Neurospora crassa OR74A: one gene and its partner. The protein of the gene in region 1 purifies or fractionates together with the protein of each later gene. This does not show direct contact. Links are inferred from orthologs where the notes say so. Each region holds a gene or a part of one and is shown on either strand. Other genes may lie near its edges.

The links. The genes of interacting proteins can lie anywhere in the genome.
Region 2: the proteins of nrc-1 (region 1) and NCU00472 purify together in Saccharomyces cerevisiae (affinity purification with western blotting, with the first as the bait; 3 studies listed by BioGRID). This does not show direct contact. The link is inferred for Neurospora crassa OR74A from reciprocal best matches to the Saccharomyces cerevisiae genes STE11 and CDC37.

What each region holds. Positions count from the first base shown.
Region 1 is NC_026503.1:1,805,817-1,809,372, forward strand, and holds the end of nrc-1 (MAPKK kinase), read left to right. Parts: coding exon 1-2,197; 3' UTR 2,198-2,917; downstream 2,918-3,556. UniProt on the Saccharomyces cerevisiae protein: Serine/threonine protein kinase required for cell-type-specific transcription and signal transduction in yeast. It is thought that it phosphorylates the STE7 protein kinase which itself, phosphorylates the FUS3 and or KSS1 kinases.
Region 2 is NC_026503.1:3,975,212-3,980,502, reverse strand, and holds NCU00472 (CDC37), read right to left. Parts: upstream 3,448-5,291; 5' UTR 3,100-3,447; coding exon 3,076-3,099; intron 3,007-3,075; coding exon 1,681-3,006; intron 1,611-1,680; coding exon 1,488-1,610; 3' UTR 1,064-1,487; intron 1,003-1,063; 3' UTR 759-1,002; downstream 1-758. Other genes in the region: NCU00473 (hypothetical protein), read right to left, coding at 1-13; NCU00471 (hypothetical protein), read right to left, coding at 4,743-5,291. UniProt on the Saccharomyces cerevisiae protein: Co-chaperone that binds to numerous kinases and promotes their interaction with the Hsp90 complex, resulting in stabilization and promotion of their activity.

The DNA.
Region 1 (3,556 bases):
CATGTCGAAACCTTCCTCGCGGCCGACCTCGCCGCTACCTAGTTCTGACTACAACAGACAAGCCCGGCGAGGCTATGTGCAACAACAGGGCTATGGCAATCAACCTACACAAGCTGCTCCCTCGCGGTTCCCCATGTCTCCTCCTGAGTCCCACCCCGGCCGATTGGTACAAGCCCACACTAGGAACAACTCCAGCATGGATGGTTCGCTGATGGCTGCGCTGCCACAGGGTCAGGATGTCATTCGCGTCATCTCCACAGGTGGCGTAACCAAGGTTGTTAAGATTGCCGACTGCAACACCTGTGAAGAGGTTATGCGTGTTACCCTACGTAAGTTTGGCCTGCGGGAGGACCATGAAAGGAATTACTGTTTCTGGGTACTGGCCGGCGTTGATCCGGACCCAAACCAATGCCGCCGCCTCGGGGATACGGAGCTGTGGAGAGTCATCAAGGACCACACTCGCCCAGAGCGCAACCGCCTGATTCTCAGGCGTGTTCCTTCTGGAGAGCCGGGCAAGGCAGAACTCGAAAGAGCAGCTGCCATTGCGATGGAGGAAGCACAGCAAACACATAGGCCTCCAATTGAGCCCAGCGATAAGCGGAGTCAGCTGAAGCTGCAAAAGGTGCTGGGAGTGGGCTGGGAAGACCTCCAACAACAGCCTCCGCTGTCTCCCATGTCCTATCAGGACCGAGAAAGAAACGTCTCAAACGCTGCTAGGGATCTAGAGCGGCCAGCACCTCTGGAAACCCCCAGGGCCATGCCTCGCCGTACACAAGCACTTCGTCAGTTCGGTGGGCTGAGACCGCCTAGCGAGCTTATCGCCTCGGATCTTACGAGCTACTTTCCAGATCACTCTCGTGAAGCTATTGACAGGACGGCCCGTTTGTCCATGAGACGCTCGGCACGTCTGAGTAGAGTGAACCATCGTCTGAGTGTTGCCAGCACCCTTAGCTTTGCCTCTAGCATACAAGACGCTCCGCCGATCCCTACCATCGCAGACAGCTGGTTGACCGCTTCCAACCAGATTGCCAAGGTACGCCCGCGTGATGTGCTGCCAAGGGCGCCTCACGGGTATAGAGATTCTGTGGCTTCATCCGTGCTTGATACGCTACAAGAAGAAGGCTCCCCAACCGAGCCTAACCGGAGATCATTCGTTCCATTTTCGGACAGCGGCTCGGATACAGCTGCAGTTAGCGTCATTGATCCCGATGGTAACATAGTCAGACACAGTTACTACGACAGCGGCACCAACAACTCGGCCGATTCCGCGGTAATACAGGAAGCACTTGCTGAAGATGGCGAGGATGCAGCTGACAAGGAGCTTCAAACTTTTCTGGCGGGCGACGCTTGGGACGACAGTATGTGGATGAAGGGTTCTCTTATCGGCCAGGGTTCATTTGGCTCCGTGTACCTCGCCCTACATGCCATCACTGGTGAACTGCTCGCCGTGAAGCAGGTCGAGACACCTGCGCCTGGTGCAGACAGTAAGAACGATGCCCGCAAGAAGAGCATGATTGAAGCGCTCAAGCGCGAGATCACCCTCCTTCGTGACCTCCAACATCCCAATATCGTGCAGTACCTGGGCTGCAGCTCATCCGCGGAATATCTCAACATTTTCCTCGAATACGTTCCCGGTGGTTCCGTGCAGACCATGCTCAACCAATACGGTGCCCTCCCTGAATCACTCGTTCGCAGCTTCGTTCGCCAAATCCTCCAGGGCCTCTCCTACCTCCACAACCGTGACATCATTCACCGCGACATCAAGGGCGCCAACATCCTTGTCGACAACAAAGGTACCATCAAAATCTCCGATTTCGGCATCTCCAAGAAACTCGAAGCCACCAACATCCTCAACGGCGCCAACAACAACAAGCACCGTCCCTCACTGCAAGGCTCCGTCTTCTGGATGGCTCCTGAGGTAGTCAAACAAACCAGTTACACCCGCAAAGCCGACATCTGGTCACTCGGCTGCCTGGTGGTCGAGATGATGACGGGTACCCACCCGTTTCCCGATTGCACCCAGTTGCAGGCCATCTTCAAGATTGGCGGCTCCAAGGCCTCGCCGACGATCCCGGATAACGCTAGCGAGGAGGCTAAGCAGTTCCTTGCGCAGACATTCGAGATTGATCATAATAAGCGGCCGAGCGCAGATGAGCTGATGTTGAGCCCGTTCTTGACGCCTGTGCCCGGGACATAGGAGTCTTCCAATAAAGTGTGAGAGTTTTCGTATGTCAGAAATTGACATAAGAGGAGGATTTAATCAGGGCTTGAATTGTAGTGACAAAAAACATGTGTATGTGTTGCTACTCATCTGTGAGGTTTGTCTGTCTGTCACGCTGTCTGTTTTACGCTGGTGTCTGTCAAATGTGGTCTGTCTGAAAACGACTATGACTACTTCCTTTCTTTTCCCCAAGTTCTTGTTTTGATTACCTCTTTTTGTTTTTGATTTGATGTTGCTCACTCAGCAGGCTGGCTGGCTGGCGCCGGGCAGGACAGGGCAGGCAAAAAATGGCACTTTTTCCGAGACAAATACTACCGACGGATGGCATCTTGTTTTGTTGGGACGGGGATAGGGACATTTTTGTGATTTTTCCGGTCATTTTTCATTTCCATGTTAAGTTTTCCTTTTAAACTCCATTCATTTTTTTTTCTCATATACAATACCTACCTACTACCAACATGGCGGCAGGAAGGTGTAAAGAAGACGGGGATAGGAACTGGGAATATTTCAACGATGTGATGGACGAGTCAGAACCGATTAACATGATGATGGGATGGAAGGACGAGGAGGAAACTTATTGGAACTGGGAGGGCTGGGTATGGTGGGGCGAGGAAGGGAGAGCGGTATGCAGTCGTGAAAGGGGAGGAGGAAGAGAGCGATAGTGACTGAAAAGAAAGTGTTTAAAGTTCAAGTACCTGACTTCCTGAGATGACCCTTTCGGTGACTTTCAATCCTCTGGCTTTAAGCAAGAGTATGGTACCTGTCTGTGTATGTTGTGGGCGGTAGTGACTCGGTCTGTCTACTGTACCTCCTACAAGCCTGGCATTCTATAGGCTCATTTGGGAATATTAGAAGAGCACACCTCCTTTGGAGCCGTTACAGACTTTGGTTCGACCCTTCTTTGTGACGACGGAAGTCGATATTTCCTCTGTTAAAACCTTCCTCACACGGCAGTCATTCATTCATAGGCGTGAACTCTCGAGTGGACGCCAAACCATCAATGCGGGTAGGTGGCCCAGAAGATCAACTCACTGCTGCGGAAGCTTTTTTAATAGTCATAGCCGAGCAGCTTCTAGAAAAATGGATGGCTTCGATGAAGTTTCACATGAAAACTGGACTCAACAGCTAGTCCACTGTGCTTTGGCTTCAAGCCGTTTCAAACTGAGGAAGAAGCTCGGTAGGTAGCCATACGAAATGCTTTTTATAGGTCCCGCCGGCTCTTATGCAATTGGTTCACTTCACGGCTTTAGTTGGTAAGGAAAGGAACGAAGTAACGAAGCTTCAAGCTTAGTACTGTAGACGTTCCTTTCTTAAGGTATGCAAGCAAGGAGAAGA
Region 2 (5,291 bases), about 2.2 Mb from region 1:
TGAGTGATGGCATTATTGTTACTTTCAGATTGACCCCCGTGGAGGAGTTGCGGTGATTGGGATCGTGGGAAAGGGTCTCGGCTCTCTGTCCCCGAGCCTGGTATCGAGTGTAATGAGCAAACGACTAGAACTGAACTCCCAAAAATGCCGTGAGTGTTGAAGAGTCTAAGGAAAAGAAATATCGAAAGGAGTAGAAAGAGAATGTCAAGCAGAAGAATGCAAGTTTTCCGCAATCGTTTTCGGCCTCGCCTCATCCACCGACTTTCCTCTCTTTCTGCACTAGAGAAAGACTGCTCTTCGAACGGATCTGCATGGGTACGCATGTGCATTCACCTTTACCCAATGGGTTGGGATCCGCTAATGAGTTGAAGATCACCCCACCCCGTCCACGTCTTTGCGACGACAAGGAGGCTCTGTTTCCCAAAAAAAGAGAGAGGGAAAAAAAGACTTCCTCTCACAAGTCAACTTCAGCGTTATGAAACAACCTTGTGCTGTAACTTGACAAGGAGGCGTGCTGCGCCTCGCTTTGATGTAGTCAGTCAGCCCGCTTATCTGTAAATGATCGAGCAATTACCCCCAATCTTCGCCCTTTTAGACTCGCAGATTCACAGCGTGCGCGGCTCATACAAAGGCCCCGGACTGAGGCCGAAATGAGGTGAGGCTGCGTCTCATGAAGTATGTAGAACGGAGTTCCCAATCTGGAGATATGTGTACGTACCGCCAACTTTGTGTTTGTGACTCAGGGGTAACTATGCAGGAGTGTATCGCAGATTCTGATTGGCTATTGGCGACCCAGAAAAGGGTCTCCCCAGCGACGGCACTGAGGGGTCCCATGGTTTTCCCGATCAGGTACAGACGAGTATAAGCCTCTCAAACACCCTCGAAACACCAGGGACACCACTCCTTGATTCTCTCTCTCAGGTACTCTTCACTAAGGAATTCCGTAGAACCATTAACATCGTATCTAGCCATACCAGAGGTTGTGAACTTGCGAGCACCTTGCTGGGCAGCTGCGTCAGCTCAACAAAGAAAACGTAAGCTTGTGGAGAAAGAGGCTGCTTGCTCTCGCTTGGGGGATTTCAAGATGAACGAATAAAACACCCACGCAAGTCTTGACCATGTTGATGCTCTATTTGATCAAGATTAGTATCTGATTGCGTGGCCATTGTGTTGCTTACGGACAGAACCAAGGCGATCAACTAACAATCCCGTGAACTTGGGAGTGATGCTAAATCTGATATGCCAGCCATAACTCAGTAACAGAAACTCGACTGAAGGATGATACAGCCGACTACCTGCTTATTGGTCGAAAAGGCGATCCGTACAGTGAATTCTGAAAACAGGGCAGAGCTAACACATGACCTTGATATAGCTTGAAGCCTGGTATGCTCCTATGTTCGTTGCTATGTCCGTCGAAATTACAATGCCTATGTCCTAAACATGTTCCAAGCCAGAACGAAAGGTACGAAGACGGCGTCTTACATTAATCATTCCGGGTCACCAGCGGGCTCATCTGCGTGCTTCTTGGCAGCCTCGATCTCCTTCCACTTTTCCTGGCCCTCTTGTGTAGTGGCGTCAATGATTTCCTCCTCGAGACTCAAAACACCAGCCTAAAGACCTCATGTTAGCAATTCTGTTCTTGCAGCAAATCAACACGGAAGAAAACGACTGTCAACTTACATCTCCAAATTTGCTCACCAACTCCTCAGCCTCCTCAACCTTCATCTTGCCCAGAACCTTGTTCACCTCATCCAACTTGCCCGATTCCAGAGCCTTCTTCATCTCGGGACTAAAGCTTTCAAAGATAGCTCTAGCTTGCTGTACCTCCGGGTCTTCACTGTCAGCTGGAGGAATGTTGATGTTGATCACCGTACCAGGCTCTACCGCATGCAGTTGGATCTGTTCCACTCCCTCTTGGCTGCCACCTTCGGCCTCTTCCTTTGCCCTCTGCAGGTTGATCTCTCTGGCCCTGTTCTTGATCTTGTAAAATGTGTCCTGCACATCCTTGAAGAAGACCTCCTGGGCCTGGTGGCCTTGTGTCGTGATGCGCTTGAAGAATAAAGCGACACCGTCGCGTCCCAAAGCCCGGCAGTATTGCAGCAGGAGTGCTTGGTGGACGCAATTGCGAGCATAGTCGTCACGATTTTGAAGCTGTGCGTCGAAAGCGAGGACGAGCAGACCATCGGTTTCTTTTTCGGTAAGGATTTCTGGGTGTTTCGTAAGGAAGGCGAGGGACTCCCGGTAGTCGTCTGCCTTGATCGAAGCAAATTGTTTGGCGGCAGGAGAAGCCTCAATTTCAGCATCATCGTCATCATCGTTCGTAGTCGTGCTGGGTGCAGGTAGGCTATCGGTGGCGCTGTAGTTCGGGTTTAGAAGTTCGACCTTGGACGCCTCCTTCTTGTCTCCTGAGGTAGAGGCCTTCGCCTTGTTGATGTGCGTGCTGTCAAAGCCCGTGTGGATAGACTCGCTCGTAATTTTGCTCTTGTCAATCTTTTCCAGCTCGTCAAGCTTGTTGAGCAACTCGCCCTGTAGGTTTGTGACTTTCTTGAGGTGCTCCTCCACTTCCGCGATAGTAGCTTCGTATCTCTTGTCTTGCTCGACTTTCTTCTCCTCCAAGGTCTTGTTGACATCGTCAAGAAGCGTGGCCATCATCTTGGTGTACGTAGGCAGGGGTTGTTCTGCATTGTGAACACCGGCAGGCCTTGGTGGGGGCTGGTCATCCTTGGGATCTAGACCAGCGGCCGACTCTATGACAGCCTGGAAGGCCACCTCGCCTGGGTTGCGCGAGCTGACTTCCGAAGCATGGGCCTTGAGAGAGGCAAGTAGGGAGGAGATCCGCTTGATCAGAGTATCATTGATGATTCTTTCGTACTTGAGGGTCTCGATCTGGAGCTTGCGTTGCTGGCGTTCCGCATGAATCTGGTTCTGCTTGGCACGAATGAAAGACCGCTTGTCGACGTTGGGATGAACCTCGACATCAGAGTCATCGCTGAGCTCCAGCGCATCCTGAATCGGCATGTCAGTGCATCTCTCCACGAGTTGCACTCATGGTGGCCAAAAAAAAGGGTAACTTACCCACTTGCTGTAGTCGACCGGCATCCTGACTCTTTGCGGCGAGCAGTAATTCTGACTATTGATTCAGATGTTCGAATTGAAGAAGCGCTTCTGAAATACTTTACTGGCGTGTAGATCGCGAAAGTGAAGCAGTGTCAAAGAATTGTGTTAAATATGGGTAATGATTTGGTTCCAAGCAAGTTGCCATGTACGGAGCAGAGAGCGGAAGAGGAGGGGAGGGGGCCAGCTTGTGTTATGGCGGGGTCCATAACTCCTGACGATATTCAACACTACACCAGAGGAGTGGGGTCATGTAGAAAGACGTAGAAGGCTCCGGTCCATCGCGCACTGCATTATGACTGCATGCCGCCACAGTGTTTGAATAGCAGGAACAGCTATCAACGATCGCTAGAAAATGTAGAAGTAAGGAGAGATATATCCATTCTACCCAAGCCTCAGCTGGCACGAGCTGCTTTGTTTTCTTCTTTTTTTTTTCCAATCGCCCACCGTACCTAGGGGTTGATAGACACGGTAAATATGACATCTTTTCAATTCCTAACATGTTCCGCGTTTACTGCACTTTCAGGGCCCGTGCGCTTGTCCGTGCACAACACCCATGTTCTGCAGTACTGAGCCAGTAACGAAATGAAAATGTAAACAGTTTACCGCATTCAGGAACAAGTCAACAGACCGCCAGTCTAACTATCCATGTAATGATCGATGGTCGAGGAAACCCGTGCATTTCTAAAGCTAGCCAGAATCGGGTTATCCTGTTTTACATCCTAAGATATAGAATGTGGTCACCTACCGAGTCATATGAGGGTAACAATGGAAAGATATCTTTTCTATTTCGCTATGGTAAATTTCCACCTTTGATATTCCAACTTGAAACCCTAACCCAGCTTCCGCAATCTCTCCTTGTACATACGACACTTCAAGTTCCTTTCTTCCTTCTGAGCCTCTACACAAGCCACTGTGTCATCCGAGGCTTGATCTGTCAAACAAGCTACCCCTACTAGCATTGTTGAGTTTGATTGCGGGACGGCCACCCTTGAAGCAGGAAAAAAAAAAAGAAACAAAAAGGACGAAAAGGAAACAAAAGAATCTGGACAAAGGCCGTTATATGTGTTGTGGATAGTCGAAAACACCTGAGCAAGGTGTCAAGGTATTGGGATGTAACTTCGAACTCAGAGCATATAGGCAGAGAACGTGCTGGACGTCGAACATGATTTCAGAAATGGACTGTGATGGACATGTTTCGTTTTCCATTCCTATAACCACTCGCTTGAATCCATTCACATGGGGACACGACGTGGATGAGACGGTCATTCATTGCAACACTTGTCTGCTTTTGGTCCGAACATAAAAAAAGAAATGCCAGTTTATTATAGATATAGGCATGCAAAGCGTACCTGTAAGCGCAAACAGTACTGCAAATCATATCACATGATCTTGCTCCGGGAGTTTCGAATGAAGATGTACATCGGATTTCTTCCAGGCATATAATTTCTCTCTCCGTGCTTATTTACGACCGGCAACAAACATCATGTGAACATGTTAGCCACCCCTAATTTTCTCCCTTATCAGGGGCCCTCCCAACTACTTGATTGAGCCGCGGCCTCGTTAGTATCAGTCATTCACAGTTTCCGTGCCTTGAGGGGCTACCAAGACTCTAGGTTATCCTGGAATCAGTACTCTTCTCCGTCGGAATCAATGAACCGGATATCAACATCTCCATCAAAGGCTCGCTTGGCTGCCTTACGAATGCGTATGTACTCTCTCTGTCCAATCGAAGTGCCTTGCTGGAACGCCGCGCCGAATTCAAACCCCTGATGGTCATGGTCGGGGGTTTCTTCCATCTTTTGGAAGAATTTCAGGATCCCCGAGGCCGTGAAGGCCGAGTCACCTGTGACGTATACTTCCTTAAGGCGCGGAAGGTTTGCAAGTGGCATGATGTGCGCATCATGGACCAGACTCCCGCTGAAGCTGATTTTTTCCAACTTCAAAGCCCCTTCGCTGATTATGCTGATATCTGCGACCGAGAGATACTCTTCCGTCTCCAGTTCCTTGAGCTCTGGACAGCGCGATATGCCTGCGGCAAGGCCCTGGCATCTCCCAGTGGCAGGTCCAAGTTCCTGAAACTCTAACTGTGGGACTTCAACGTTCAAGTACTCAAGTTTCGTTTGGTGATGTAGCTCACTATACCAGGGCGCATTTGCCTCAACTGACATCAGGGT